Arabidopsis thaliana: one gene and its partner. The protein of the gene in region 1 purifies or fractionates together with the protein of each later gene. This does not show direct contact. Each region holds a gene or a part of one and is shown on either strand. Other genes may lie near its edges.

What was found.
Region 2: the proteins of AT5G24710 (region 1) and AT5G57460 fractionate together in Arabidopsis thaliana (co-fractionation; one large-scale study listed by BioGRID). This does not show direct contact.

What each region holds. Positions count from the first base shown.
Region 1 is NC_003076.8:8,459,089-8,475,297, reverse strand, and holds the start of AT5G24710 (Transducin/WD40 repeat-like superfamily protein), read left to right. Parts: upstream 1-7,124; 5' UTR 7,125-7,377; coding exon 7,378-7,509; intron 7,510-7,594; coding exon 7,595-7,679; intron 7,680-7,760; coding exon 7,761-7,800; intron 7,801-7,890; coding exon 7,891-8,139; intron 8,140-8,454; coding exon 8,455-8,554; intron 8,555-8,666; coding exon 8,667-8,741; intron 8,742-9,319; coding exon 9,320-9,418; intron 9,419-9,815; coding exon 9,816-9,932; intron 9,933-10,013; coding exon 10,014-10,129; intron 10,130-10,216; coding exon 10,217-10,316; intron 10,317-10,972; coding exon 10,973-11,331; intron 11,332-11,439; coding exon 11,440-11,767; intron 11,768-12,113; coding exon 12,114-12,325; intron 12,326-12,640; coding exon 12,641-12,859; intron 12,860-13,162; coding exon 13,163-13,349; intron 13,350-13,510; coding exon 13,511-13,746; intron 13,747-14,073; coding exon 14,074-14,166; intron 14,167-14,248; coding exon 14,249-14,350; intron 14,351-14,580; coding exon 14,581-14,941; intron 14,942-15,132; and 4 more. Other genes in the region: AT5G24740 (vacuolar protein sorting-associated protein, putative (DUF1162)), read left to right, coding at 1-182, 568-681, 803-886, 1,684-1,734, 1,840-2,019, 2,097-2,416, 2,520-2,858, 2,955-3,018 and 5 more.
Region 2 is NC_003076.8:23,268,302-23,284,057, forward strand, and holds AT5G57460 (muniscin carboxy-terminal mu-like domain protein), read left to right. Parts: upstream 1-6,808; 5' UTR 6,809-7,019; coding exon 7,020-8,960; 3' UTR 8,961-9,187; downstream 9,188-15,756. Other genes in the region: IAA33 (indole-3-acetic acid inducible 33), read left to right, coding at 1,723-2,159, 2,580-2,658; GS1 (Haloacid dehalogenase-like hydrolase (HAD) superfamily protein), read right to left, coding at 3,217-3,346, 3,423-3,502, 3,603-3,750, 3,853-3,913, 4,023-4,247, 4,521-4,599; XRCC3 (homolog of X-ray repair cross complementing 3 (XRCC3)), read right to left, coding at 5,707-6,621; AT5G57480 (P-loop containing nucleoside triphosphate hydrolases superfamily protein), read right to left, coding at 11,105-12,667; VDAC4 (voltage dependent anion channel 4), read right to left, coding at 15,594-15,756.

The DNA of each region.
Region 1 (16,209 bases):
TTTGGAACTATGTTAACAAAGCTTTCAACATGGTGCGGGTGGAAGTTCAGAATGCCAATATGTCAAGCGGAGATGAAAAGATTGTAGGGAGTGTTCATGGACATGTCGGGACAAACTTTATTCTATTATCAGATGACGACATGGGCTATATGCCTTACAGGATTGATAATTTCTCAAATGAGGTCAGTAATGTTATGATTGATGATTCTGTATATCCAACTAAAGAGTTTTAGTTATTTTTCCCGTCAGTTCACAGGTCGTTCAACTCTACAACTTAAGTAGCATTGCCTGAATACTTCAAAGCATTCGGAAAATTAAATTGAGTAATCAATATCTATGAGGCCTAAATTGTACATGATTTTCTTTGGCATCCGTCGAGGGAACTATGCTAGTTGTCTTTAATGTAGCATGTAATTTTGGGACCCAAGTATAATTGTTGGTGAAAACATTTTCTTACTGGAAAACTTGCTTTCTGAGAATCACCAATGTATGATATCTTGTCGATTTTGAAACCCTTACTTGCTCCCACAAGGAACTGAAAATGGATTTTTTTTCTGTGGGTGATAGAGACTTAGGGTTTATCAACAAAAATGTGAAACTTTTGATACCATAGTTCATCCTTACACATCTTGCCCTTATGCTTGGGATGAACCCTGTTATCCACATCGTTTGACCATTGAGGTATGGTGATTACATTTTCTGCTTAATGACAAATCAGCCCTTTGTATCTGTTGACATTTCTATTTGCTGCTGTTCTCTTCTTTTCCTTGTCTTACATTTTTTCTCTTAATGAGGAATGTAGGTACCCGGAGATCGTGTTCTAGGCTCTTATGCATTTGAGATAACAAAACAACCTATTGCAGTGCACTTGCGCTCCACCTCTGAGGTATAATATCACAAATAACTTTGTTATGTATTATTTATTTGTGGTTATCATGGCTTTTACTGAGTGGTTCCTACATGCTAGACCCATCTATATATTGGAATGTCCTACCAGCATGCTTTCTTAAGCATTGGTTATGAACAGAAGGAAAAAAAAACTAGCCAATCTCTCGTTAGTCTAATTTGGGGTAATATTCGCATGAATTTGAATGAGTCAGATCCTCATATCTTTTAGCCTAAGGTAGAGCATCTCCAAATTTCCTTTGCAAATTAAGTTTGAACTCAACAAGTATAGGCTTTCTGGGCCTGCTAAAATGATGAGATGGAGTGGATTAAACTTTACAATAACCAGTTGCATGCAGCTCTGGATGATATACAATAACCAGTTGCATGCAGCTCTGGACAATATGAATGCATGCTTTGTTTTTTTGTATGTATGCAGAAATTCAAATCAGTATCATCATCCTGGCTAAGTAAATATCTTCTGTTGCTAGACCTTGTAAAATTGGATCAGTCGAATGAATGAGTGGTGGCACTGAAAGTTACACTGATATTGAATTGACTCTAAAGAAAGAAAACAGATGTCAGCTAATCACATGAAAACAAAGCATATATTTGATAAGACCAACCAATTTCATTCATTTTTTCCTTCTTTTGATACTCTCTTTTGAGTTCCACATAATTAGTGCAAAAGTGCGCTTAGAGGACGTGATTTATCCTTGTTTCAGTTTTCTGTAGCCACTCTATCACTGAGTCTCAGGTATTCTTATCTACTTATTTGTTTTAATTGACCTGCTTCAGAAACCTGAAAGGACATTGTTGCTATCTATCTGTGCTGAAGGAGCTACAAAGGTATAATTTCTCTGACACCATAAAACTTAGCTAACTTTCTGAGGACAACTACGTCTCTCTATGTTGCTGATGTAACTTGTTCATTTTTGTCTTTACCCATTCCAGGTTTTCAGTGTTGTAGATTCAGGTTATCACGCCATAAAAGATATAAAGGAAACATTTGACTCCAGATTCCATGAGAAGGGAAAGAAAAAGCTTCAAACTGACAATATCATCCGTTACACAGAAACGTTCTTGCTTGTCCTGCCAAGCATTGGTATATCTTTGGTTAATTCTCATCCACAGGTAAACATCCCCTGAAAATCTAAAGCACGTCTATATTACATCCCAATATTTTTGTAACGCTCCAATCTTCCTCACAGGAATTGGTTTATGCTTGTGCATCAAATGTTGTGTTAGAGTTAAGTCAGAGTGTAGATCAGCAGAAGCTTTCCTTTCAGATCTCTTCACTACAGATAGACAACCCACTTCAAAATTCTTCGTATCCTGTCATATTGTCATTCAATCATGACCACGAAGTCATTCCTCCTGATTGGGGAATGAAGAACAACAAAGCAATACTTTTAAGTGAAATTGTTCAGCAAGTTAGGGGTAATTCCTGTGATGCTGTAGTCTACGTTGACCTAGCAAAGTGGCGGAAAAAAGATGTTTCACTAGTTTCTTTTGAGTACATAAATATTAGGTATGATTAATGGTCAACATTCTCCTTAGTATCCACACAGTTCATTGTATTATAATTATATACATTTTGTTCCCAATTCTCAGTTTGCTTTAAATAAATGCAGGATTGGTGAATTTGGACTTGAGCTGGAGCTACAAACACTTTTATCCTTACTGGAGTTCGTAAAAGCAGTGCTTCCCAATTCTCAGGCTAGACTCCTGCCGCTCTCAGATCCAACGCTACGTCCTCTGATTTATGACACTGGTTCCAAGGATATAAGTTCAGAAGATACTCCACATGCAAGAAACATTCCTGTATTTAACAAAAACCAGAGAAGCATTGTAGCTCTGCCTATAGTGGTTCCAATAGGAGCTCCTTGGCAGCATATTCACTTGTTGGCTCGAAGACGCAGGAAAATTTATGTTGAAACATTTGACTTGGCCCCTATTCAGTTTACTTTAAGGTGAGATAGAAATTGTCCTTTCAGGATAACTATACTTTTGGTAACCTATCTACATGTAGATTCACATGGGTCCTTTGTGTGTCACAATATTGACAGCTTCTGCAGTGCTCCCTGGATGCTTAGGAACGGCATTCTTACTTCAGGAGAGTCCCTTATCCATGTATGTACCTTCACTTTTCTTTCCTTAGATATATTGCAGAATTTTATTTTTGTTTATATTAAATGCATAAAGGATTTTTGACGTTAGGTTTTTAATAGGATTCCTTTCTTTTCTTGGCCAAATACCCATTTTGAATTTTTTGCGATATTCTCTTTGTTTCAACTCCGGTACTATTACCTGATAGACTATACATAGAAGGAAGGGAACAGATTAGTGTTCTTTGACCAATGATTAGGAGCTTTTATGACTTTGGGAGTGATTAGTGACCCCAAACCAACTCGTTTCTGGTCCAAGGATTATAACATAATATTGATTCATTATTCTTATAACGCCATGTTAATTCTTAATTGAAGGATGTTATATTTAATATGGTTAACTGAATCATTATGTTCGATTTCAGAGAGGTCTTATGGCTCTTGCCGATGTCGAGGGTGCTCGAATACATCTCAAACAATTGACAATTGCTCATCAAATTACTAGTTGGGAATCATTTCAGGAGATCCTTGTTGGGCACTATACCCGCCAAATTCTTCATGAGATTTACAAGGTAAGAACTGGTAAAATGTCACTTTTTCACTTAGTGTTTTTATTTCCTAGAGCACTCATACTATTCCCTATATACCTGCTGGACGTATTTCTGCAATGTACTATAACACAGGTTTTCGGCTCTGCTGGTGTTATTGGAAATCCCATGGGGTTTGCGAGGAATGTTGCATTTGGAATTAAAGATTTCCTGTCAGCTCCCAGCAGGAGTATCTCAAAGGTTATGATTAAAATCTCTTTTTGTTGCTTAACATTTTCATGTAATGTCTGGTTTAGTCACTTTTAACTTATATGCTAACCTAGATTACTTGAACAGAGCCCAGCAGGAATTATTCAAGGAATGGCTCACGGAACCACAAGTCTCTTCAGTAGCACTATTTATGCTTTAAGTGATGCTGCCACTCAATTTAGTAAAGCTGCACACAAGGTACGATGCATCTGTTTGCTTAAAAATCTATGGTGTAGACGCCTCCTTCAAGAAATATTTACAGAATTACCAATTCGTTGCAGGGTATTGTTGCATTTACATTCAATGACCATGATGTTGCAAGGATGGAGAAGCAGCAATTGGGTGAAGGATCGCGTAGCAAAGGAGTTATAGGTGAAGTGTTTGAGGTATGTTATTTGCACTTTCTTTGGAAGTATGTCTTATATACTGATTTGATGTTCACTTAGTCTTGAAAGTTACTTGAAGTCAGTGACTTCTGTCAAATTCTTCTGAACTTGCATAAAGAATTTAAGCATGCCAGCTGACACGATGTTCATCACAGGGACTCACTGGTCTCCTTCAATCACCAATAAGAGGAGCTGAGAAACATGGTCTTCCAGGCGTTATCTCAGGTATTTAAGCGAGAACCACCGCTCAAGTCATCTATAGACATTCAAGACATTTGATGTTCGTGTACACGCTGTCCTTTTGTTTCTGGCTTTCTAATTTTATGCATGTTAACTGGGTGCCTATATATGGTTCAGGAGTGGCCATGGGGATTACTGGACTTGTGGCCAGACCAACCGCTAGTATCCTTGAGGTAACTGGAAAAACCGCACAGAGTATAAGAAACCGAAGCAGGATTCATAACATAAGATCCCAAAGGCATAGGCTTCGTCTTCCGAGGCCTCTGAGTAGAGAACAACCTCTCAGGCCTTACTCATGGGAAGAAGCGGTCGGGACAGCAGTACTTATGGAGGTTGGAGATTCCCTGAAGTTCAAGGGCGAGAAGCTGGTGAAGTGCAAAGCCCTGAAACAAGAAGGAGCTTTCGTTGTAATCACAGGGAGACTGGTATTGGTTCTAAGCAGCCTGAGCTTGGTAGATTTCAGAAAACAGGGATTTCTCGGAGTTCCAATAGATTTGGTATGGAATATCGAAAGAGAAATCGGTTTGGAGAGTGTAATACATACAGATTGCAGCGGTGGAGTAGTCCGCATCATAGGAAGCAATTCAGATGGTGTATGGAACTGGAGACAGGACCAGCAAAAGAAGAGCAGCCCGACCAAAAAACGATGGAACAATCCTTCAGCACAGCCGCTTCTTCAGACTAACTTAGAGTTTCCATCGGAGGAAGAAGCAGAGGACTTGTTGAGTGTGTTGTTATCGACTATTGAAACTGGGAAAAGCCGGAGCTGGCACAGTCGATTTGTTTTAAGTCGAAGTAACATCACTTAAACCGGAGACTTGCGTACATAAGAATACAGTAATTCTTTAATTTTCTTTGTGTACAAAAGTGGCTTTATGAAACTAGTTTTAGAATATATGGTCTGACATGTTTTGGCTATAAAATTTTTTTTAAAAAAAAAGCGTAATAAATCGAAGTGTATTGTACATGGATTGTCAGGCATCATCATGATGCTCATATATGTGGCATCATCATGGTGATGCTGTTTTTCATGCGGGAGAAATGTTTTTACCAACATCAAATCGTATTGCTGCGGAGTTGAGAGGGATATTATGGGTACTACACAGTCTATGTGATCTACACTTCTATAATATTGAGATTTGGTCCGACTATGGTGCTCCTATGGAAGCCATTAGTGACCCATTAGATTGGCCACGTATTTATCTTATCTTGATAGGATTCATTGGTTTCTCCCGAATTTTGATAAGATCGTATTTAAGGTTTCATCGCACGAGATATAGCCACAAGCGTAATGAGAGAAGGTCGATGCAGATCATATTTAGCTCGTGGAAGTCCGATGTGGTTACACTCGCATTGAAGAAGACAAGCGGCGTTGATTTTATTGTTCTTTATTAAGTTAAGATCTTCTATAAGTGTATGAGGAAAACAAGTTTAGACGGGAAAAACAAAAAATCGAAGTGTATTGAGTAAACTTCAATGAAACCTGTAAAGAAAAAATTAAATTAAATTGAAGATTAAATAAGACTTTAATTTTGATTGCAAATCTTTTTATCGAATTCTAGATTTAGTTGTAAACATAGTAAACCCTTATTACACCAAATACTATAGTCATTTTGTTTGAGATAATTCATTTGGAATTCTCTTTAAAAGTTTAGTGATCGGAGGCTTCTCGATTTTCTCTCTCTTCTCTCACTTGAATTTTTCAGAGAAAGAAAAAGCGATTCATGGCAAGACTCCGTCCAACATCGTTCGGCTTCTTTAACGACGATGGTTGGTTCGTTTCCAGCATCAATTGGCTTCTTTAGTGGTGGTGGCTGGCTTTTGTATCCGGACGTGGTCCGGCTTTGCCGTCTTATCTCGCCGTCTGGTTTCTACTTTTCTCTTTAGTGGAATCCGGCTTTAGTTTCCAGTTCTTTGATACCGGTTTTACCTTTCTGCTTTTCAATAATCATTGTGATCTTAGTACCAATTTTTTTTTGGGTTTTCCTTATCATCCTCTTTTCTCAAGCTTTTTTGCATCCTTATTTAGATGAAAGTCAATCTTTGTTTCATTTCTAATCTTTACCTTTTGGGTTTTAATCAACTATTAGAGTTTGTTTCAACCTAAATCGATTCTCTCAATCCTTTGATTTAGAATCTCAATTCGGCATATCTGGTAAGATTTAATCATCAAGAGAAATCATGGTTTTTTATTTCTCTTTTGTCATAGATCGTTGCTGTTCTGGAGAAATTTAGATCAAATATAAACTCTGGATATTGTGGAGCAGAGAGTCAGATTTACAAGCGTGATGAGATTGTCGTAGAGGAAATGGTGGGTTATCGGATTTGATGGTGGTGCTGGGAGATAACGATGAAACAATCATCGGCGTAAGAGAAAAGTCACATCCACGTGTCGTATGTTGCTTTGACTTGTTTTATTAGCGCTGTACTCTTTACTACAAGGTGTTTAGTTGTACCCTTTATGGATTTGTGAAATACTTTGATGACTGGGCTTTAGTGATGTTTGTAAACCCATAATTTGAATAAAAAAGAAACTTATGAACAAGAAAAAAAAAAGTTCAGTGATCCAACGGATCCACAATTAATTTCCGTAAATGGAATATATTTTGCGACAAAGGAAAGGGCTAAAACAATTGTTATTGGGCCTTTTTTTTTGGGTTAATCAGACTAGCCTTCGCAAATTCGCGCTTTACGCGTTTCGCGTCTGAAGACACTACCGGAGTTTTTGTTCGGCGATTGTAGTTAGTGGTGGTGGATCCGGGCATTTCATTTGATAACCGCGGTGGATCTAATTGATCTGGATCTGACCATAGCCCTGCTTGCTTTTTCTGGAAATTTTTAGTGTGTAGCTCTGGAGAGTTTCTCGTGAGTCGAATCGTCTATGCGGATGCAGTTGTGCTCAGATTTTTGAGTTGTCTAATTGATCTTGAAGAACTGTGAGAGAGAGAGAGAGAGATCGAAATGTTGCGGGCGAGAGCATTTCGGCAGACCAATGGTAAGATTGTGAAGATACAGGTACATCCTACGCATCCATGGCTTGTTACGGCTGATGATTCAGATCACGTCTCCGTCTGGAATTGGGAGCATCGTCAGGTCTGTATCGAGATTCTGATTTGATTTTGGTTCCGGTTCTGATTTCGAATCGTGGATCTGTCAACGTTTATGTCTATTGTGTTAGGTAATTTATGAATTGAAAGCCGGCGGAGTTGACGAGCGCCGTTTAGTTGGTGCCAAGTTAGAGAAGCTCGCCGAAGGAGAATCCGGTGAGCCATTGTTCTATTCTGGTGAAATGAGTATGAGTTTCTGATGCTTTATGTTCTTACTGACATTCGTATTTTCCTCAGACTATAAAGCTAAGCCTACTGAAGCCATTCGAGGAGGAAGGTAGTAGATAGATCTTTCTCGCTGCTAATTCAGTTGCTCCTTTCGATAATGAGAAAAATGACTTATCTGCTCAATGTTTGCACCTACTAGCGTTAAGCAGGTGAAGTTTTATGACGATGATGTGCGTTATTGGCAACTGTGGCGCAACCGCTCCGCAGCTGCTGAATCTCCATCAGCTGTCAATCATCTGACATCTGCTTTCACTTCCCCTGCTCCATCGACTAAAGGCCGTCATTTTCTGGTCATTTGTTGTGAGAATAAAGCTATTTTCTTGGATTTGGTGACAATGCGTGGTCGTGATGTGCCAAAGCAAGAGCTTGATAACAAGTCACTTCTCTGGTAAGTTCATTGCTTTTTCTCTAATTTTAGGATATGGGTTTGCTTGACACCTGGACCCCGGGGAAGATGCTCCATTACTTTAGGCTTCCTATCTTTAAATCACTTGAATCCTGGAAAGACCTCCGTTAGTTACTACGCTGGAAATATTTGAGTCAAATGTAGACTAGGCATAAGTGTAATGGATATGTGTGTTCTAAGTGTAATGGATACCAGGCTTCCTTGATGTTTAATGTTCAGTCAATGGCCAAACTCCCTTTCTACATTTTTAATTTCTACTCCTCCTTAATGTTGCTAGAATTCTTCCTTTCTTTGCAGCATGGAGTTTCTTTCGAGATCATCTGGTGGTGATGGCCCTTTAGTTGCATTTGGTTCAACTGATGGTGTCATTCGGGTTTTATCAATGATAACATGGAAGGTTTGTTTGTTTCAAAATTATATTTTTTTTTTTTGGTTTCTCTGCTGGGTTTAGAGTGAGGGATTTTGATACTGATCTGTGTTAATTTCCTTGAATGTTTACTTCCTTGCAGCTTGCACGTCGATATACAGGTGGCCATAAAGGATCCATTTATTGCTTGATGAATTTCATGGCATCATCTGGCGAAGTAACTACATATTCCCTATATATGCCCTCTTTATTGCTCTGAATTTATTTCGAGTTATTTACTTAATATGTTAATAGTTAATACCATCTGATAGATGAAAGTGTCATGTAACTTAGAAAAACATACTCAAGATCACCTACTAAGATCGACTGTATATATTATATGAAAACGAGGTCTTGAGCATATCGTCTTGGAAGTTTCCTACATATATCTCTTTCTTCTTAGCGACGTAAAAATCTCACATTCTACTAAGTGGGAGTCCAGACCGCAGCAGGCCTTACTATACGGATACCTGTTTTACAATCCAAATATCTAGCCTTAGTTTCTTAGATCATCTGTACTCGGGTTAAATTTCATGCATAGCCTAGGCATTAGGAGCGGCGGGAATTTTAAACATTGGCATCTCTTTTCCCAATTGCTTGTTTAGGTTATGTTAATAGCGAATTTCTGATAGTACTGGGCTTTCTTCCCTTTTATATAACTTGACGTTTTTTAATGAATGCTTATCAAGTATTTTCTCTCTGTTATTTATGTGCAATACATGATACTAGCCATCCTCTATCTAAATGCAATTGCAGGCACTCCTTGTTTCAGGTGGCAGTGATGGCTTACTTGTACTGTGGAGTGCCGATCATGGCGCTGACTCAAGGGAACTTGTACCCAAGCTTAGCTTAAAGGTACTCAATTATGCCCACTCTTTCATTCAAAGTTCAAGAGAGGATATTACCATGACCGTTCAATTCTTAGGCCTGGAAAGATTTGCCAGATTTGGTTACAGCTGAGGCTAAGGCACCATTGTTCTTAGTTCCAGTGAACCTTCTGAATTGATTTCTGTGTCTGTTTCTGAATGTTGGATACTTGCATTTAGATATTCTTTCATTCTTTTTATAAAAGGCTGAGTAATGATTAGGGGACTATGACATGCTCGTGCTTTTTTTTTTTTTTTGGTGTAATAGACATGGTCATGTTTGCTTAATTGAGTGGATAATTTCCACTTCTCTGTTATACTTTTTTTTTTTTTTTTTCCTAATCCCTTCTTGGCTTCTTCTAATGTTTTTGTTCTGATTGTATTAGGCACATGATGGTGGGGTGGTGGCTGTTGAGCTGTCAAGGGTAAGTGGGAGTGCTCCACAATTGATTACAATTGGGGCTGACAAGACATTGGCCATATGGGATACAATGACATTTAAGGTAATGGTGTATCTCATGTATGGATTTTTCATATTTTCCCGATCTCATTTATTAACATGCATATCTACTTTTATTCTACAGGAGCTACGTAGAATTAAACCTGTCCCGAAACTAGCTTGCCACAGTGTTGCATCTTGGTGTCACCCTCGAGCGCCAAACCTTGATATTTTGACTTGCGTTAAAGATTCACACATATGGTATCTTTGTTTAAGATTTGGTATTGTATATGGTAGAATATATTTATGTATATTAGATGAGTGGTCTAATTGTTTGAATTTTTGCAGGTCTATTGAGCATCCAACTTATTCGGCCCTGACAAGGCCGTTATGTGAACTTTCTTCCTTGGTTCCGCCTCAAGTACTTGCAACCCACAGAAAACTTAGGGTAATTAGCTCATTGTTGATGAAATCCTCGAAATCTACCACGTATCATATCATTTCTTTCTGCCTGCTAGTTGTATACTATATCAATAGCTCATGCTCAAGCCTGAGCATGAGCATTGCTCTCTGAGGCTCCATTCTATGTGTCCCACAAAACATTAGTTTCTCTTCTTATCTCGTAAAATGCATCTATTATGGTTCAAATGATGAAGTTGTGTAGCTGTATAATATTGCACTTGGCAATGCAAAGGTATTCTGACTCAAGTAGACTAGGAATAAGAATAAGAATAGAATACAACTGTTTGTATTACTTCTTGCAGAAAAGTTTTGTATATAGCAGACTTTAAATTGATAGCTGTTTGAACACTAAATTTATCTAAAAGAAAATTGCAATGGAGAAGATACGTAATCTTTATGTCAGATGGTGATAGGGAAAGCACATGCTGCACCCGAAAGTTGAAAGTTATTCCTTTTTCAGAATTTGCAGATAATATTCGGGGTTCATTTTCTACTTGAAACCGCCAGTTGATGATTTTCAAAGATTGCTAGTTTCTTTATTGCATAATTATAATAGCATTGCTTCTGTACTTCTTTCGCTTTCATGGCTTCCATACATTGGTAGTAACCCTCATCAGGTACTTATTAATTTCCATTTTTTAGGTCTATTGTATGGTTGCACATCCTCTACAACCACATCTCGTCGCAACTGGTACCAATGTTGGTATTATAGTTAGTGAATTTGATCCTCGTGCTATCCCGTCTGCAGCTCCTCTACCAGCACTGCCTGGAAGTCGGGAGAATTCAGCTATATATATCCTTGGAAGAGAATTAAAGCTCTTGAACTTTCAACTATCCAACACAGCCAACCCATCCCTTGGCAATAATAGTGCCTTGTCCGAATCAGGGCTTTCTAAGGGAGACCCAGGTGAACAGTTAACTGTAAAGCAAACCAAAAAGCAGATCGTGGCACCAGTTCCACATGATTCATACTCAGTTCTTTCTGTGAGCAGTTCAGGGAAGTAAGTTCCTTAGCTAATTGTTTTTTATGAATATAATTTTCTTCTTAACTCAGCTAATTTGTTGAGTTTTTTTTTTTTTAGCCAGCTAACTTTATTCTCTGATTGTAGGTATGTGGCAGTTGTATGGCCGGATATTCTATACTTCTCTATCTACAAGGTTAGTGACTGGTCCATTGTTGACTCTGGAAGTGCAAGACTGTTGGCGTGGGATACATGTCGAGACAGATTTGCGATTCTAGAATCTGTGTTACCTCATAGAATGCCTATAATCCCTAAGGGTGGTTCATCGAGAAAGGCAAAAGAAGCCGCTGCAGCTGCAGCTCAAGCTGCTGCTGCTGCCAGTGCAGCTTCATCGGCTAGTGTCCAAGTTCGTATTCTCTTGGATGATGGTACCTCAAACATACTCATGAGATCCGTAGGAGGTCGCTCTGAACCGGTATGTGTCTGTTTTTTTCATTTATACCAGATCATCTGCATGTATTCTAGAGCAGATCCATTGAATATTTAATCTAATCATGCTCCTAAGAATTTGTGTGCTTTGGTTTGCATTGAAAATACTGTAAAATTAGTACAAAAAAATGTCATACTTGGAACACAGTAGTTTATTAATTGAATTTGACTAAAAGGAAAGGTTGCTAAACGTGAGAATCTTACTTGAGAGTTCTTCTTGACTTCAAGTGGTGGGTTATCTTTGTTACTTTGAAAAATTGATCATAGAGCAGTATGCAATGCTGGACGTCTAGGTTAAGCAACATTCGTATGCTTCATAATTTTCCTTTCAGGTCATTGGTCTGCATGGTGGTGCTCTACTTGGTATAGGTTATCGCACATCCCGAAGGATTAGTCCTGTTGCTGCAACAGCTATTTCAACCATTCAGTCGATGCCACTCTCGGGATTTGGAAACAGCAATGTTTCTTCGTTTTCTAGCTATGATGATGGGTTTTCTTCGCAGAAGTCTGCTGAGTCTGCACCCCTAAACTACCAGCTCTACAGGTAAAACTAGCGTTGTCCTTCTTATTTTTATGCAAGGCTCATTTCTGTTAGCACTCTTTTTACTAAAATAGTGTGCAGGCAGCTAGCTGTTGGGCATATTTTATTACATTTCATTTTCTTTAGTTAGCTATATTGACCAAATCAGAGTCTTTTTTCCTCCTCTGAGATGTCTGGGAGATAGTTACTCTTGTTTGATGGAATAATAAGCACTGTTCACCAATCTGTACTGATTCCCATAGTTATGTTTTGGCTAGCTCTAATTTTGTTTGAAGGATTTCAGTTCTCTATTATCTAAATGGAATTTTTAATGTGTAGTTGGGAAAATTTTGAGCCAGTAGGTGGTATGCTACCTCAGCCAGAATGGACGGCATGGGACCAAACAGTTGAATACTGTGCTTTTGCTTATCAACAATACATGGTCATATCGTCCTTGCGCCCTCAGTATAGATATCTTGGTGATGTTGCCATTGCACATGCTACTGGAGCTGTTTGGCATCGCAGACAGCTGTTTGTGGCTACACCAACCACGATTGAGTAAGCATATTGCTCTATATATGATACATGATTTTTTTCTGTCTTCTGCCAGTTACCTTAAATGCTACTTCCACTTGGATGAAACAAACTAAAAATTGAATCTGTGTTTTTGCGGTGGATGTGTATCAACAATTATTGATTATTCAGATGGTGCATAATCCAACTTTTCAGAGATTACTATGTTTTGAAAAGAATTGCTCTAATTCTGAATTTGTTAAACGCATGGCTACCTTTATCTGCTACTTTTTAAAACAAATATCTGGGGAGGAATGCTAATACTTTCTTCCATGCCTGGATTTCCAGATGTGTTTTTGTGGATGCGGGAGTTTCCGAAATTGATATAGAGACTAGGAAGATGAAGGAAGAAATGAAACTTAAGGAGGCGCAGGCTAGAGCAGTTGCAGAGCATGGAGAGTTGGCCTTAATCACAGTAGAAGGTTCCCAGGCTGCAAAGCAAGAAAGGATATCTTTAAGGCCCCCCATGCTGCAGGTAGATTTTTCTTACTTTTACTTGAAAATATTGTAAGCTATTGGGAAGCATAATTTTTAAGGTCTAAGCGTGTTGTTTTGTACTGCATATGTGTCGACATCTATGTCAATTCATGTCAAACTAGCAAGAGTCTTCCTTATGTGTATACCTTTTAATTGTAGGTGGTGCGTTTAGCTTCTTTCCAAAATGCTCCATCTGTTCCACCATTCTTATCATTGCCAAGACAATCTAGAGGTGATAGCGATGACATAATGGATGAAAGAAGGGTCAATGAGGTAGCTGTGGGTGGTGGAGGAGTCTCAGTTGCTGTTACTCGTTTCCCAGTGGAGCAAAAACGACCAGTGGGGCCTCTTGTTGTTGCCGGTGTGCGGGATGGAGTTCTTTGGCTCATTGACAGGTACTATGAGTCTCCTGTTCTTACCTTACGACAAGACTGACTCTTGTTAATACATTCCTTGTTCGATGCTGACTGTATGAATTGGTGAATCGTTTTATCTTCATTTGAGATATTTATATTTAATTAGATTATGAATTTTCCTTTCCATTTATATTATGCACTAGGTAGGCACTGAAATCTGACATTCTGCATTCCAAAGTTTCCTCGAGCACTAAGCTTGAATACAATATCTTGCCATGATAGTCATTTTAGTTGCTTGAATGAATAAAGAAATATTAGACAGAAGATAGAAATTATTGTCTGACACCTCCTTCCATTTCTTGGTAGGTACATGTGTGCCCATGCCATATCCCTTAATCATCCTGGTATCCGCTGTCGCTGTCTTGCTGCTTACGGGGATGCTGTTAGTGCAGTTAAATGGTATGGATATGTTTCTCATAATCTCGTGTTTATGTGAGTAGTTAAGTAGCTGGAATCCTTATACAACATTTTTTTTGCGCAGGGCAAGTAGGCTTGGGAGAGAACATCATGACGATCTGGCACAGTTTATGCTAGGGATGGGATACGCAACAGAAGCTCTTCATTTGCCTGGAATATCTAAGAGGTAAATAAAACATATAATATTTTGGTGCCGCTTTTCCTTCAATTTGGTTCTACTATAGACAGTTTTTTCTAGTCTCTGAATTGCTTATGCTGGACAGTAAACAGAATTCAGTATTTCACTCATGTATTGAATCCTTCATCCTAGCGTTCAACTCAACCAAAATGGCATCAGAGATTTTTTTTTCACTTTGACTTAGGTTCCGAGTTTGACTTAACTTTATGTTTTCTCAGGCTGGAGTTTGACCTAGCAATGCAGAGCAATGATCTTAAGAGGGCACTTCATTGTCTTCTCACAATGAGTAATAGCAAGGACATTGGACAGGACGGTGTAGGCCTTGATTTGAGTGACATTCTCTCTTTGACAGCTACTAAAAAAGAAGATGTTGTTGAAGCTGTGGAAGGAATAGTGAAATTTGCAAAGGAGTTTCTTGACCTTATAGATGCTGCAGATGCCACAGGGCACGCCGACATTGCTCGCGAAGCTCTCAAAAGACTGGCAACTGCAGGTTCGGTCAAAGGCGCTTTACAGGGTCATGAGTTGCGAGGCCTTTCATTACGCCTAGCAAACCATGGAGAATTGACACGCCTAAGTGTATGTCTGCAATTTCTCTTTCTTTCGGTTTCTAACTTGGTTTCTCGTATTTTAGGATACCTACAGAAATCTAAAGACCTTTGTCTTGTTCACTAGATAGGATCGACATAACTATAGACGAATTTATGCTTTGATTTTATACTTTGTATCTTCTGGTTCCTAATTGAAATACTTTATTAACTTTGTTGCAGGGACTTGTAAACAATCTGATCTCCATAGGCCTTGGACGAGAATCAGCATTTTCTGCTGCAGTTCTGGGAGACAATGCGCTCATGGAGAAGGCATGGCAAGACACGGGAATGCTCGCAGAAGCCGTGCTTCATGCCCATGTAAGATTGTTTTTGTATTTTGGTTTTTCTTTTTGCAGTTTATAAATTAAACTTGTATTGTTTCTGACTACGCCTACTGTAATTATTTCCACAGGCACATGGTCGCCCAACTCTAAAGAACTTGGTCCAGGCTTGGAATAAAACGCTGCAGAAGGAAGTTGAGAAAGCTCCGTCTTCTAAAACCGATGCTGCAAGTGCGTTTCTGGCTTCTCTCGAGGATCCAAAGCTCACTAGTTTATCTGATGCATCTAGAAAACCTCCTATCGAGATTCTACCTCCTGGAATGTCTTCAATCTTTGCTTCCATTACGGCTCCCAAAAAACCTCTACTCACGCAGAAGACTGCACAGCCAGAAGTAGCTAAGCCATTGGCGCTCGAAGAACCTACGAAACCATTGGCTATTGAAGCTCCTCCATCTTCCGAGGCACCACAGACCGAATCAGCGCCTGAAACCGCAGCCGCTGCTGAGTCACCAGCACCTGAAACCGCAGCCGTTGCTGAGTCACCAGCACCTGGAACCGCAGCCGTTGCTGAGGCACCAGCATCTGAGACTGCAGCAGCACCTGTGGATGGACCAGTGACGGAGACTGTGTCTGAGCCTCCTCCCGTAGAGAAGGAGGAAACTTCTTTGGAAGAAAAAAGCGATCCGTCTTCAACTCCAAACACAGAAACAGCTACGTCCACAGAAAATACTAGCCAAACAACAACAACGCCTGAAAGTGTTACAACAGCGCCACCTGAACCTATTACAACAGCGCCGCCTGAAACTGTTACGACAACAGCAGTGAAACCAACAGAGAATGCAGCAACCGAGAGACGAGTAACCAATTACCCTCCAATAAGAAGCCAGCCAATAGATTTTGATTTCTTGAATGGCTAAACCAAGTTTTCACAGAAGATCCCAAAACGAAGACAACAGAGTGTATATCTTTTAGATAT
Region 2 (15,756 bases), about 15 Mb from region 1:
ATTGAGATCTATGAAACCGAGGTAAGTTTTAAATATTTCCATGCCTCCATGTCGGATCTTCGAGTCTTCTAATTCGAATCCCGAGTTGAAATTTAAATGTATAGAGTAAATTATTGTTTGCTTCAAACTTAAGAAAATATGCTTCTTGTGCTTCGTTTTATGTCTTCTTGGGTTTGCTTTAGCTTATTCACCTATTGCTTGTTGGATCCACCGTTAATTTTTCATTTAATAGTCCATATGAAAATCAACATTTTAGCATAAAATTACAATTTTAGGCACAGTTATTTGACTCATACATGATTTACCTATACATTTGGTCACTCAACTTAATTATTTGCGATTTTAAAATCGTGTATAATGTTTTAAAATGACTTGAATTGGAATCAACTAATTTTAGGTAGCTCGAACAAACTTGTTATTTATTTATTTTCAGATAAGTTCCGTACACCAAAATCTATAACCGAAAAGACTTTGGATTATATTGTATGAGTTTAGAGTGCAATTCTTCTTTTTTTCCCTCTTTTTTGATCTAAGAAATTTCTAATTAAGTTCACATATTTTCTTGGATCTAATCACTCTAAACAACTCCTCCCAAATAACATGAGTTTTCATTATTATTAGAGGGGTGATGTCTACATTTTGGACCAAGGTCTAATACTTTGTTTTACTTTCGTCAAACCGAGTTAAATCCGAGAAGTATGAGATCAAACGTTAAACGTATTCATGTGTGTGTATGTGATGTTACATGGATAAATGGCTATGCATGTATATTCTATATGACGTTGATGTGTGGTCGTGTGGATATATGCGTGTGTTTACCGGTTAATACAATTTTTATATTCTTCGTATGTATGCTTGATGTGTGTATTAGTGTATGAAAAGAAAATGACGTGGAACTCCCGACCAGGCGCGAGTCAAGGAAGCGAGGCGTTCGGCGACGGCAGCGCGGTCGTCTCCGCAGCCCATGCGTTACAATTTACAAGATCTCTTTTTCTATGATACCTTCTTTCATTATTTAATTAATCACCAATTTATAATGTCTTTAATTAATTTGGAGTTTTCTAGCTAATTCACATTTCTTATTATATTGACTCTTTTTCACTGTTTTTATGTTTTCCCATCAGCTTTCTTTTTGTCCACGTAAACATTTCCAAACATTTTTATTTTAAAATTTCTTTATACTTGTATACATAAATACCTAATACCTTGCTGGTAATATATGGTCAAAATTAGTGAAACCTTGGAACATTTCCTGTAACAGCTCTTATTACTCTCACAGTCGCAGTGATAGATATATAGTAGAATAAGTTAGCAAAATACAATAATTGTAAAAACACATTTAATACATAAGCATGTGAGAACATTTTTACGTGAATCCAATTGTTCATTGAATAATTAAATATTAAATTGATTGTTAATTGAGGATTCATTGTCTAACGAGAAATCCAAAGAGCAGATGTACTTTCAAATTAAATGAAACATTTAAGACAACATTAAACCAAACGAAAATTGAAAAATGAAAAATAAAAGACACCTTTTTGTTTGCCACACAATTTACGCTTTCTCTATCTATTTATATGTACATACATTCACTTTCACCAGAATCTCATCAAACACACAGTCTCTCTCTAGCTTAACAAAAAAACACGAAACACTTTGAGTTCCATGTAAGCGTCCGTTGTCTTCTCTAAGTTACAAAAGCCCTAAAACCCTACTCTCAATATGAATAGTTTCGAGCCACAAAGCCAAGACTCTTTGCAAAGAAGGTTTCATCAAGACAACAGCACCACACAACAACCTCGTGACACCACGACACCTTTCATACCCAAACCGGCTTCCAAAAACCATAATAATAGCAACTCCAGCTCTGGAGCGGCCGGGAGATCATTCCAAGGCTTTGGGCTTAACGTAGAGGACGATCTTGTTTCATCGGTGGTTCCTCCGGTTACGGTTGTGCTAGAGGGACGTTCTATATGTCAACGCATAAGCCTAGACAAGCATGGGAGTTATCAGAGCTTGGCTTCGGCTCTAAGGCAAATGTTTGTCGATGGAGCTGATTCAACGGACGATCTTGATCTGTCAAACGCCATTCCTGGCCATCTTATTGCTTATGAAGACATGGAGAACGATCTCCTTCTTGCCGGAGATCTTACTTGGAAGTAATTTTCCTCCCCTAACATTAATTTTCTTTATTATTGTCAGGATGGCCATATATATACAAACTATATATAAAACGAGCCTTATTTTAAACATAGGAAAACTATATTAATTTTTTTTCCCCTAACGGTAAAATACTACAAACACAAGTTTTTCAAGCTGCCAAGAAAACACATGTTCTCTGCTTTTCTAAAAAGACAAATATCAATAATTTAGTGAAATGATATTTTGTTGCTATCCTTATTCTGTATACTCAATTTTGCTGGCTATAGTTATTTTGTTTGATACCGTTATATATCTTTCTTAAAAATTACGGTTTTCGTTCAATGTTTAGTATAATTAGATTTTGAAGGTTTCGTGATCTTTAACTGGCAATATTTTAATACTTGGACGTTAACGAGAAAATTTGCTTGTTGACACAGGGACTTTGTTCGTGTAGCGAAGAGAATTCGAATCTTGCCGGTCAAGGGAAACACAAGACAAGTTAAAAGAAACGAGTGAGGAGGAGAAAGACCGTTTTTGCAACGATGTCATACGATGTTTTGTAACAGCCGATGTCGGTTGAATCCTAATGGCATTACTGTAAAATCATCATTGGATGTGTTTGCTTCTTTGTTCACGTACGAAATGAAAAATAAAAAAAAAGTTGTAATACTAAATATAACCTATTTTTCTTAATTATAGTGTAAAACATGAAACGTTGCAGTAACAACACATGTTAGTGATGCGTAAAGAAGAGAGATTCCAAACCATAAAGAAGGAATCAATTCAGCTATACCGACAAGAACAAAATAAGATAAGCCAATGTTGAAACTTGTGGGTAAGAGTAGTTGTACAAAAATAATTTGTTTAAACGTTGAGGCAAATTTTTTTGTTTGGTCTCTCGTCATGTCACCACTTAGTTTCTTTTTATGTCTTCAATAGCCAGAAAATCATAGAACCCTTGACGACATAAAGCCTCATGGCCTTTGTCATGTACATGCCAAAACAATATAACAAGACAAAGAATAAGCTTCATGATTTGAGTTTTTATCATTACCTTGAAGACGTTTGTATCGTTTAGTTCGAATCTTCGAATGGAGGCAAGCCCCACTCTTCCGGTTTAAAATCGACTAGAGAGGTTATGATTTGATCTGCAACATCTTGGTGAGAGATATCTAGTCTAGGATCCGGTACCATAACCACGTTCCTGTAGATAGACATCAAGATGTATAAACTTGTTTCTCGGTTTTTATTGGCTTTTACATGAAGAGAAACCCACTTACATTCCGGCGTTTTTAGCAGCAAGAACTCCAGATGGAGCATCTTCAAACACCAGAACCTTTTGTGAATCCACAGGACCGTCCTAAGGAATCCAGACGAAGAGGAAACATTAGTCTACAACTCATTTTAAATATGAACTAGTTAGTAATGGAGAATCTTGGAGACTGTTGCCTGTTAGTTACCTTAAATCTCCTAGCAGCAGCGAGAAACCCGTCAGGAGCAGGCTTTCCTTGCTTCACCTCTGGATCATCACCACGAACTACGTGATGCATCAATGAGAAAAGCTCTCTGTGTCTTTGGGTTTTCAGATCATAATGCCGTGTGTGAGTACTGCAAGCGTACAATCAAACATAACAAGTCAGTTTCTGGATTGTAAAGGACAATGAGAATGCAAACTAAATGGTATATTATGAGATGAGGTGAAGAGATTACCCGGTAGCAATACATATTGGAATATTCTTTACATGGAGATGCTTAATGAGTCTACTAGCCCCTGAAAATGTGGAAGAGAATTGGTTCATGACCACATCAAAAACATAAATATCCGTACATGTAATCTTCCTGTGAACCAAATGTCATGTGTTACAAAAAGCAGAATCTACCTGGCATGAGCTCACTAGTAGGGAAAAGGTCTTGCAACATTGACTCTCTCTCGACAAGAAAGTCCTCAGCTGAAAGAGAGTCGCTAATCCCGCTTTCTTCAACAAAGATCCTGGCAGCTTCTATTGCTTTTCTACCCATCATTTTAGCCTTGAGAGACCAATCAAACTTTTTATTGAACCTAGCAAGTATAATCTCTTGGACCTCAGTGTAAAACTTCTCAGTATCTGCAACAGAAACCAAATCAGCATGAATGTATGCAGCAAGAGCAGATAAGCCAATGAAGTTGTGAGATTTTGAATACACAGAACAAAAACTCAATCGCTCGATTTCCGATCAGATTCAAGCTAATTGCTTTAGCATCTTAACATCAATTGTATGAAATCAATCCTGGAAACTAAACAGTCACTACTAAAAAAACCATCAAATCTAAACAACGATAGTGACAGTAGTACGATCTAATAAAGCTGGAGATTGAAGATCAGATGCAAGGAGATTACCGAGAAGAAGACCGTCCATGTCGAATATGACGTGAGTGATTGATCCTCTGCCGGCGGTGACGGCTGCAGGATTCGACATTGTTGATTCGATACCGATAACGACGAACCGAATCCAGTTTCAGTCGGAAGTTAGTTTTTACGCTGGAGAGTGATGTCACTATGACGTATAACAAAAGGTTCATGGGCCGTATCTTGTAAATGGGCCGGTTCACATAGAGAGTAGAAGTTTTGCTCATAGTGAAGAGTGCTAATAAGAGATGTTGAAACTTATACATTGGAACTAAATATGTTTAGTCTTCTTCTATACAAAATAAAAGTGAAGATTCGTATACAGAGCTTTTGTTAATCCAAAGACCAACAACGGCCAAAAAATTTTTCCTCTTGTAGAGCTCCGTCGTGTCCTTCAGATGATTCAATGGTTGTTTTTAGCAACAGCCTTAGGCGGAATCTCTCATTCTTGTATACATCAGAGGCTGAATTGATCCTCTCGAACTGCAGTTGATTCCTCTGCCACTGAATAACCACGGAAAAATAGAAAACAATCGAAGTGTTAAAGATCTTTTAGCTACAAGTAATCTGTTTTAACTCCATTTGCTTACCAATAGGACAATGAAGTATGTTAACTAGATTAATTACTTATGGCACTTATGAAGGCATGCATCATCATATTTTGTGGTTTCAGTCATTTTCTGGTTAGAATCGAGAAATTAGCTACAGAGTTCAAGTGAAAATAAATACAAAAACCATATCCACCAGGATGATCAACACTACCTATTCATAAAGATATTACGGCCAGATATAAAGATCACATCAGCAATTTACTCAACAAATGAAACGATTTGAAGATAGCAACCAAGTGGGAAATTTTCGACTTCGTGCAAATTCAATGATGCAAAGAAAAGAGAATCAGAGAACAAAGTGAGAAGCTTGCAGTAGACTTAGGAGCTAACAGGAATCTTTTAAAAAGCTTTATTATGAATAATTGAACATAGAATGCTTATAAACTAAAAACAAGCACATATCACATCTAACCAAGAGGAGGAATCCGAAAAAATAAACCTGGCTTTGCTGCAACCCATCTCCGGATCCTTCTGCAATGTACATAAATAATGGCTAATGAACAAATACTCCAAAAAATCCGGTGATGCTTCGAACAAAAACTATCCTACATAGCACCCGAGTTCACCTACGCTTGAACCGCACAAATCCCCTCTCGTGTGATCATGAACTCGCAAGAACTCCCAGGCAAATAAGGTGAAAACACTATGTCAAGCCGTCTCTTAGCACTTCTGGACACAGAACTTGAACAATTCTCGTCCTTTTCACTTCTATCTTTAACAATACTACCATCACTTCGTGAAATAAAAAATCTGGAATTCACACAATTAGCCCAAGCCAAGCCTAAAGAAGGAACAACTCGTCTTCCAGACGAATACAAATACCTCAAATTCCCAATCCTCAGCCCACTTAACCCATCAGAAGTTTCAACCAAATCCGTAACCTGATTCGTAATCACAATAGCCAAATCAAACTTGCTAGCCAACTGCTTCAATTTCCCAGATATCTTGAAAAACAAAGAAGATCTCTTCTTAAGATCAGACGGAGTATTATCAAACTCCGATCTAAACAATGCCGCTACAGAATCAAGCACAATCAACTTCAACGGAAACCTAGTTTTCGAATTCCCAACAAACCCATCTATCCTAGGCATTATGTCGAACAGGTGGTCTACAGAATGGACATTTTGTACAAACACATGATCACAAGGATTATCATTGTAATTCGCGTAAATACTAGGGTTTGATTGATGAAACGTGTGCGAGAGCTGATGGAGACGACGAAACGGAAATGGGAACTCTGAATGGAGATAAAGAGAAGAACCGTTGAGTCCGCCGTGTGAAATCGGAAGTTGGGTACAGAGCGAAAGCTGAAGGCAGAGCTGTGTCTTTCCGCAGCCACTCTCCGCAACGATTTCGGTTAAAGAATCGCAGGAAATTCCGCCGCGAAGACATCCGTCGAGGATTTCACAGCCTGTGGTTAGTTTACGATTCGTCGGCGATCGTCGGAGGAGATTCTCCGGCTTAATTTTCCCATTTTGCATTTCACCGCCAAAAGCTACCAATTAAAAAAAAATCGCAAAAGTTATAAGCGCTACAAAATTTAAAAAGACCTAATCGCGTTAAACGACATCGTTTTATCATATTATTGGGCTTCTTACCTTGACATTAGGCCCAATAAGTTAAGAATAAACGTCTACTATTGGGCTTATTTTCAAACCATCGCATTAGGTCCATGCAGGTAGGATACGAGTAATGAAACAAACGACGTCGTTTTCGAAAGAAACAACGAAGATCTCATTTCTCTTTCTCCTTTTCTTCTCCGACGATTCTTCTCAGTTCTCAGATCTGATCGATTTCTTCATCAGATGTTTCAATCTAACCATTGAGATTGAATAGTCACCATTAGTAGAAGCTTCGAGATCAATTTCGAATCGGGATCATGTCGTGTTTAGCCCTAGCTCTGCAACCAGCAAATGGATCCGACATTTTGCTCCAAACTAGAGAATGGTTTCCACCAGCAAGAGCCTTAATCGCTCTCTCGTATTTTCGTCAAATGCGTCAAGCATTAGCGTCCTCGAAGCAGCAGCATCAGCAACAATCGAATCAGAAACAGAATCAAGCTTCTTCTTCTTCTTCTTCTTCTTCCTCCGTTGCGGATCCTGACGATGCCACGGCGGCGGAGTTTGTAGGTGATGATCCACTCGCTGCTTCTAATGGACAGGTTATTGTTGGTGTTGAGAGCAAGTATCGTGTAGTTTATAGATTAGTGAACTCGATCTATATCCTTGGTGTTACTGTCGCGGATCATGATAATTCGATCAATGTATTTGAGTGTATTCATATTGTGAATCAAGCTGTTAGTGTTATTGTTACTGCTTGTCGTGGAGTTGAAGTTACTCCGGAGAAGCTTGGACGGAAGTATGCTGAGGTTTATATGGCGCTTGATATTGTTTTGCGTGGTGTTAGTAATATCCGTCTTGCGGCGATGCTTGGTGCTATGCACGGAGATGGGATTGCGAAGATGGTTCATTCGGCTCTTGATACTGAGAATAAGATCCGAGGAGCTGATAGTTGGATGGCTGTTGAATCGCATGCGGCAGAGCATCAAGCTTCTGTAAACGCATTTTCTAATGCAAGATTTGAATTGCCTCCGGAGACTGTTGCCGCTGGAGATGAGTTCGCGGCGAGCTTGGCTCCAGTGGTGCCTGAATCAGAGCAATTGAAGGAAGAACCAGAGCCGGAGAATAAGGATCCTTTTGCGGCTAGTGAAACGATTAACAAGGAGAAAGAACTTGTGGGTGGATTCAAGAAGACTAAGGATCCGTCCTCAACGGATTTGACTTTGGCATTGGCTGGACTTGAAGTGACGACATTACCTCCAGCCGAGGCAACACAGTCTACGCACATCAATGTGGAAGGATTCGAAGGGCAGTATGGTGGGATTGAGTTCAGCAATGAACAGGCTACGATTGGAGAAACTTTTGAATCGTTTAGTGATGCTTGGGGAGGTGGGTTGGATCCTTCAGAGTTTATGGGACCAAAGAAGATTCAGAAGAAGGAAGGACTCGGTGGGCTTGAGCTGTTGCACACCAGTGATCCGAAAGCAGTGGAAGGCAAAGATGGAGTTAATATCGATAACCTAGTTAAGAAGCCTGAGATGAAAGGTCCTGAAATGTATATCTCTGAGGAAATTAGAACCGAGTTTAGAGAATCCTTGCTTGCTAGAGTAGGAGTAATGGGTGTGATCTATCTGAAAACGATGCCACCCAAAGGCTCTGGTGAAGAGAAAGAAACTGAGTTCTCATTCCGTGTTGAGGGTACTACTGCAGTTAAGAGATTTGCTATGCAGAGTTCTCGGATCAGTAGCTTAGGGAACGGTTTGTTTCACGTGAGAACTGCTCCATCAGAAGAACCAATCCCTATCCTTAAATATAGCTTGCAACCTAAACTAACCCCGTTGCCTCTTAGAGTCCGAATGGTGAAACGAATCAGCGGGACTTTACTCTCACTTATGATACAATACGTCTCAAATCCGGATCTACCTCAGCCTCTGAAAAACGTCGACTTTATCCTAAAACTCCCGGTTGATCCCACATTGCTTAAGGTTTCGCCTAAAGCAATACTGAACAGAACCGATCGAGAACTGAAATGGCAAATTCCGGAGATTCCTCTGAATGGAAGTCCCGGGAGACTAAGAGCACGGATGCCTATCGATTCAGATAACAGCGAGGAAGAACCAGATATCATCTGCTATGTGAAATTCTCGGTACAGGGAAATACTTCTCTGTCTGGTATCAGTCTACGTGCAGCTGCTGAGGGAAATACAGATTTCTTTGAGGTAGATCACAGGTACGAAACCGGAGTCTATATGTGCAATTGATAAAAGTTTCTCTCTAAAAGATTTACATTGTTTATAATTTTCTCTAATGTTCTTGAGTTTGGCCTTTGTTGAGAGTTATTCTTTTTTTTGGTATGTGTCATGTAAGGTTTTGTGTACTTGTGTATCTTGACCTCTCTTCATTGTTATGTTATCTGTTTTACTCGATTTGCTTTTACATTTTTATATTATTGAAATGCGGATTACAAAATTTAAGTTTATCAAATATACTTTGCAAAATGGTAAAGTGGAAGATTCTCCTAATTGTTGTGATGAAAGTATCAAAATAATTGTGGTGGTTGTTGAAGTACAAAGGCTATTATTATGTAAAGACAATCACAAACATTTTGAAATTGTTGATCTCTAAATATCATATTACATTATACATAACAAACTTAAGACAGTAAAAAGTATAGATGTTTTGATTGATCAGAACATGTAATATAGTCTTGAGTACTAAGGTTGATATAGTGTCATAATCTAGTGCCCGTTTGCAAGTTGTCGCAATTTTTTTTGATGTAAAATAGTGCATGCAATGACCTATTTTTTAGTGACATTAACAATAACCACTATGGTTCTAGTATCATCTCCCTCGAATAAGGCCTTAACCCCATTAAAGATTTACACTATGGTTTTAGTATGATCTCATCTCCCTAGTATACAACACATTTTGTGTAGCTTTACTATACATCATGTTTATTTTAAAAAGTGGGATTGATTCCACATGATTCTTAACATATAGTCATATAGATCTTGCTCCTGTCAATTACATGATGCATTAAAAAAAATCAGCTGAGTATATTAACAATTACGAAAAATACTAATCTCACATCATACCAGCGCGCCGAATTAAATCCATAGAACATGTCATTCTTAGGTCAATTATCCACTATGACATTTCTTTATTTAAAATGATAATGTCATGTGGGTATTAAGCACCAAGTACAATCCATTCCTAACTACGGGTTACAAAATTAAAATATCAATAATAATTTACATATTTGTCTCTTATTTGTAGAGTGACATGTCTAGTTGTCCAGATTTAATATAATAAACTAGTTGATTAATAGCAATTGCTTGTAAATTACTCAAAAAGTAAGCAGAAGCTGTGGGATCCTAAACACAAACCTCTAAAGAGATGATGAAAAAAGAGATATTGATCAACTTGGCCTACCAAATCGTCAACTTTAAGTCTTTAACACTTCACATTTGATTAATAAAACATATAATTTGAGTGTTCATTGACATATAAGAACGTATTATATTGCAAGCTAAGGGATGAATTCTCAACCCCAACCGGCCATACCTAATATATGACAGCTCTATTTATCACTACACAAAAAGGACCAATTATTTGTTTGGTTTTACACCTATTATAACAATCACTATATTACATAAAATGGCGAGTACATGCTATACACGAAGGTCAGTTGGAGCAAGATGTCTGAAAACATTTTTAAGTATTCATTATTCAATAATGTCTTGACTCGAGAATCATGTGTCTTCACTCTTCAATAATAATCCATAGTTTTATCCGTCTTGTTTATATGCAAAACAATAGTAGCCACTGTATTTTCAGTATTTTAGTAGATGAGATTAGGTGTTTGGGTTATTAGCCTCTTTAAGACTGGATAACTTATGCATTAAAATTATTAAAAGTTTTAATTGCTTCCAAACCTTCTACAATAAACATATCACCATCCCACCCAAACACCTGGTATATGTGTATAGGCAAAATACTAGTATTTAAATATTAACATGCTATTGACTAACACATGGTTATAGTTTGACAAATATTTGGTCCAAATTATTTTATGCATAGTGATAAATGCTAATGGCACCCAATGAGATCCACTTTTGCATTTCCCATTCCCCACATAGAAAAATCTTCATCAACCATTTGCCTTTTGAAACTCCCTTTTTTTTTTGGCCAAATCCTCTTGAACCTCCTTTTTTAATCACTCTTCTTTTTACTTCAAAACTTTTCTCATTGTAGCACATTTTTGTTTCTTTCACTTTCTAACTTCCGAGTTTCATACTTTCATGTTTCATCTACTTGTAACAACCAAAAGAAGAAGAAATATCATAACCTTTGACCATTATGTTCTACATTATAAAACTTTAAAAGAAAACAACAAAAACACATTTCAATCTTCTCTAGTCTTACAAATGTTATCCTCAAGCTCAATCTCTTCTTCATCATGATCCTCATCTTCATTTTGACTATCTATTGCCCTCTTCTCTTGTTCCTCAACAACTTCCAATTCAGTCAAATTCCCACTTCCACCCCTCAATTTCCCATCTTTCACATTTCTCTCCCCTCTACTTTTTAAATCCTCCAACAACTCCCTAATCGCCTTCTCTTTATCCCTCCTATTCTTAATCAAAGCCTCACTTACATCAGCAGGAGTCATCTCAGCCTTCTCCACAACCATCTCCATCTCCTTCAAAACGTCGCCGTTTATATCTTCCACCCCATACCCCAAATAATTCTTCAACAAAATCTTCAACGATGGGAAGTTACAAAAACTCATGTAGATATGCATATCCATTCTCCCACTTCTAAGCAATGCAGGATCAAGCTTCTCTATATGATTGGTCGTAAACACAAAGATCCTCTCACTTCCACAACAAGACCAAAGCCCATCTGTAAAATTCAACAAACCCGACAACGTTATAGTATTCCCATTACCACCTTCCTCTCCCGAACCACCCGAACCTGAACCCGAACCGTTTCTTGTCTCCGCATCATAATAACTCCGTTGCGACGATACATTACTACTATTCTTCTTCCTATTAGTCAAATTAATCGAACAATCAATATCCTCTATAACAATAATAGACTTAGAACTCGTTTTCATCAACAACTTCCTCAACTCCGAGTTACTATGAACCTCAGTGAGCTCAAGATCGTAAATATCGTAACCGAGATAATTCGCCATCGCTGCGATCATACTCGACTTACCAGTACCTGGTGGCCCGTACAACAAGTAACCTCTCTTCCAAGCCCTACCAGTCTTCTGATAAAAGACTTGACCTTCAGCAAAATCTTTAAGATCATCCATGATCTGTTGCTTCTTTCTCGGATCCATAGCTAAAGTTTCGAAAGTACTCGGATGCTTAAAAGGAACAGATTCCCAAGGATGTCCTCTTGAGTCAAGAGACCCACCTCTTGAGTTAGTATAAAGCAACCGGTCTTGGTTTTTCCGACGAATCTCATTAGCTCTCTCCATGATGTAATCAAGATAAGAATTGAGTATCAAAGTTTTGTCCTTTTTCTTGATTCGTAGAGTGAATCCACGTTTCTCTTCAGGTAATGGTCTCCAAGCAAAAGTCTGAGTTTGACGCTGTGTAACGACGTGTTCCCATAGAACTGTAACGCCGTTAAAGGTGTCGACGATTGAGTCGTTGTTGGAGAGACCGAAAGTGATGGAGGAAGAGTTAACGGCGCGGGTTAGACTTAAACGGTTTCCGGCTATTGAGACGGAGGAGCTTAAGTAAAGCTGAACGGCGTTGTAGAGTTCGTTGGTGTTGACGCCGTCGATCTCTGTTATGTCGAAGTAGCAGTAAGAAGAGAAGACGTGGAAGATTCTGTTGAAGAATTTGAGGAAAGCGAAACGGAGCTCCGGTGGGAATATTGATTGCATTAAGCTTTGACAAAATGCTAAAACTCCGAGTAGTGAAGCTAATGATGTCCAATACTCTTTCATTGTTTTTGCTTTGAAGTTAGATCAGAGCAAAACAGAGTGAAGAAAACAGAGGATTTTTGTCAAAACAGAGTGAAAACAGAGGATTTTGATCAAAAACAGAGGATTTTGGTCAAAAACAGAGATTTATTTTCTAGAAGGTGAGAGAGATTTGTGGGTTTAAGAGATTAAGAGAGATAAAAGATGGGTTTCGTTGGATTTATCGACTAGAGATTATTTGCAATGAAAACTTGAGAGAGAAGAAGGAGAAAGGTGAAAGCTTTGAGAGATCAAGAAGAGAGAAGAAGAGAAGGGTTTGTCTCAATATATAAACTTTGATAGAGAAAAGAAAATATGAAAAGCTATAATATTAGCCTGGTGATGGTGAAAGAGGGCAAGAGGGAGATAGGTGGGGGACATTAAAAGTGAACAAGTGTAAAAATAAGAAAAAGAGTATATACAAAATGCAAAATTGGGATTTGGAGTTTATTTCTTTGAATATGAAATGTTGAATTTAAGGCTAATTAGTAATGGAGTTGCTGGATTTGATTTTGGGACTTTCCTTCTTGTTTTCTTTCTTTTTCCTAAATAATGGATTTAGACTTTTCCTTTGCTTTTTTCAAGTAACGTCTTTAGACTTTTTATATAAATAACAAAATTTGTAACGGATTTTCTAGTGTGTGACAAAATTGTCATCTTTTCAATATTGATTAATAATTTAGTATAAATGTTTTTTTTTTCTTTTTGTTTTACATTTTAGGAGAAATGAAGTGATTATCATTAGGCACGCAATCTTTTTGTTATATGTCTAGTAATTACTGTGTAGATTGAATTAAAAAAAAAACTTAAGATATCCATTTACCAAAAAAGAAAAATATTATTTCCAGGAGGTATGAATATAAAAAAGGGTAACGAGTTGATGTGATGATGTGATAGTCCACAAAAGTGAATGAGGTTAAAAAAGATTTTGGGGTTGTTGCAGAGTAAAAGTTATAGACAAGTACAGCTAAGTAAAACGCCCCCTGAAAAATTTAACATGCAGAAGAAACATATGTTGGTGTTTGTTTGTGTTTTTTTCAAAACATTACAATTTTTTGGAGATATATTCACGTTTCCTCCAATCCAAGGGAAACCATCTACTGATCCACGTATATTTTCTTTTGTTAATTCGAATTGCATATGCTTTTTTTTTGTGAACTACATTAACAAGTAGTTTTAACACAGAACAAAACAAGTTTTTTTTTGAATCAATAGAGGCAAACATTTCATGTGCGGCAGTTCAAAACAATGCAAATAATTTGGAATAGAAAATTTAAAATATATGACAGTGTGACAGATACTTTGAGAACATATTGTATGGGTTGGACTAATTATGTAACGTTTATTATTTCCAATTTTGATATTTGGGACCCCAAAAAAATCGAATTTAGATATGCCAAATATATATATCATAGTATCTTCACATTATCAAAATAAAATTGACATTAAGGGAAACATGATCAGAGAGTATATTACAAGACAAAAATCTTCATATACAATAGTACCAAGAATCACCTAAACTGAGTATTACCTTTTTTGTTATATTACCTTTCGTTTACTTCGGGGGTGTTATTGGTTTGTGATTTATATGGAATTTTTAATGATTTGAAATGTTGTGAAAAATCTTGTGTTATTCAATTAAAATTTTATAAGACTCTTTTAAAGTTTGGTGTTATTAGATTTTGATTTGTAAAAAGTAATTTAAAGTCTTCATAAATCTTGAGTTATTAGATTCATACTCTAATAAAGTCATTAAAAAATTTGTGTTATTCAACTAAAACAAATGAATCTATGATTGTTAATGATTTAAATTATTGTGTTACTGGTTTATGATTTTATACACTTTTCTTTACAAACTAAAATCATGTAAAGTATCATAAAAAAAGAGAGATTGTGAATGACTTTGTAACTAGGAAGATTTTACAAGATTATAGGAGGATTTTACAAGATTTTGGAAAAGTAATCATAGAGATTATACAAAACTCTCTAAAAGTCATTTAAAATCTTTCATTTTATCTACTTTCTATATTTTTTTAAAGTCATTAAAACTCTTTCAAAGTCACAATCCAATAACACCCCCTTCGATTCAGCGTTAAATTTTTTACATTAAAGAGTTACGATTTCTGAAAAGTATGCATCGGATTTTCGGAGAAATATATGGGAGATATTTTCTCAAACTATTGGAATCAGTTTTTGGTCAACGAATTATTGGTATTTGAAGTTTGCAAGTTATGAAGATTAAACGGAAATGATAAAAGAATACAGAAATGTCAAAGGTGTTGTAACTCATGAGAACATTAAATATTGGTCAAGATTTCTGACCTTTTCAAAAGGAACTCTCGCTTTCATCGCTAAACTCATAGTTCGTTCGTATCATCATATTAACCATCAAAAACAGGATCTTGGGGACTTGGCCTTTAGACATCAAGAATATTAACCTTTTTTTTAATCTCTCTCTCGTTTTTAGGCAAGTACAACATACATAATTAGCCCATGCATAGAGTTATTACTTATAAGGTTGCATCTAACATTTTTTGGTGCAGATGGGCCGGCCCGGCCCGTATGAACAGTAGTGATTATTTTTATTTCTTCGGCATCACAACTGTTTTATATGGCTCTTCTATACTAGAGGTGAACAAAGGGGTTCACGGTGTCGTACGTTTATACAGATCGATCGAACCAAGTGAAACCAAAGTCTAAAGAAACAAAAAATTAATAGATTCCATCTAAAAAAAATTGGGTTTTGCTCACTCCCTTTTCTTTCACATCACAATGAAAAAACAAATATTAATGCAAAAGTGATTCAATAACCCTACAAACCGTTCGTTTGGGGGTGATTTTTTTAGCACTTGGTGAAAAATTGAATTGTTTAGTTTGTGTTTTCCAAACTGATAAGAGCTCTTTTCTTGTTTTATGGTTTGAGGGCGAGGGCGAGACCAAGCTTTGGTGAAGAGGTCACAGCCTTTGAGTCATACTCAGCTGAGAAAGTGATGTGCGACTTCGGTCTCCATTCTCTCTGGACCACCATCCCTGCTTTCCCACTGTTAGAAAATCTGGTCTTAACCACTGTGAAT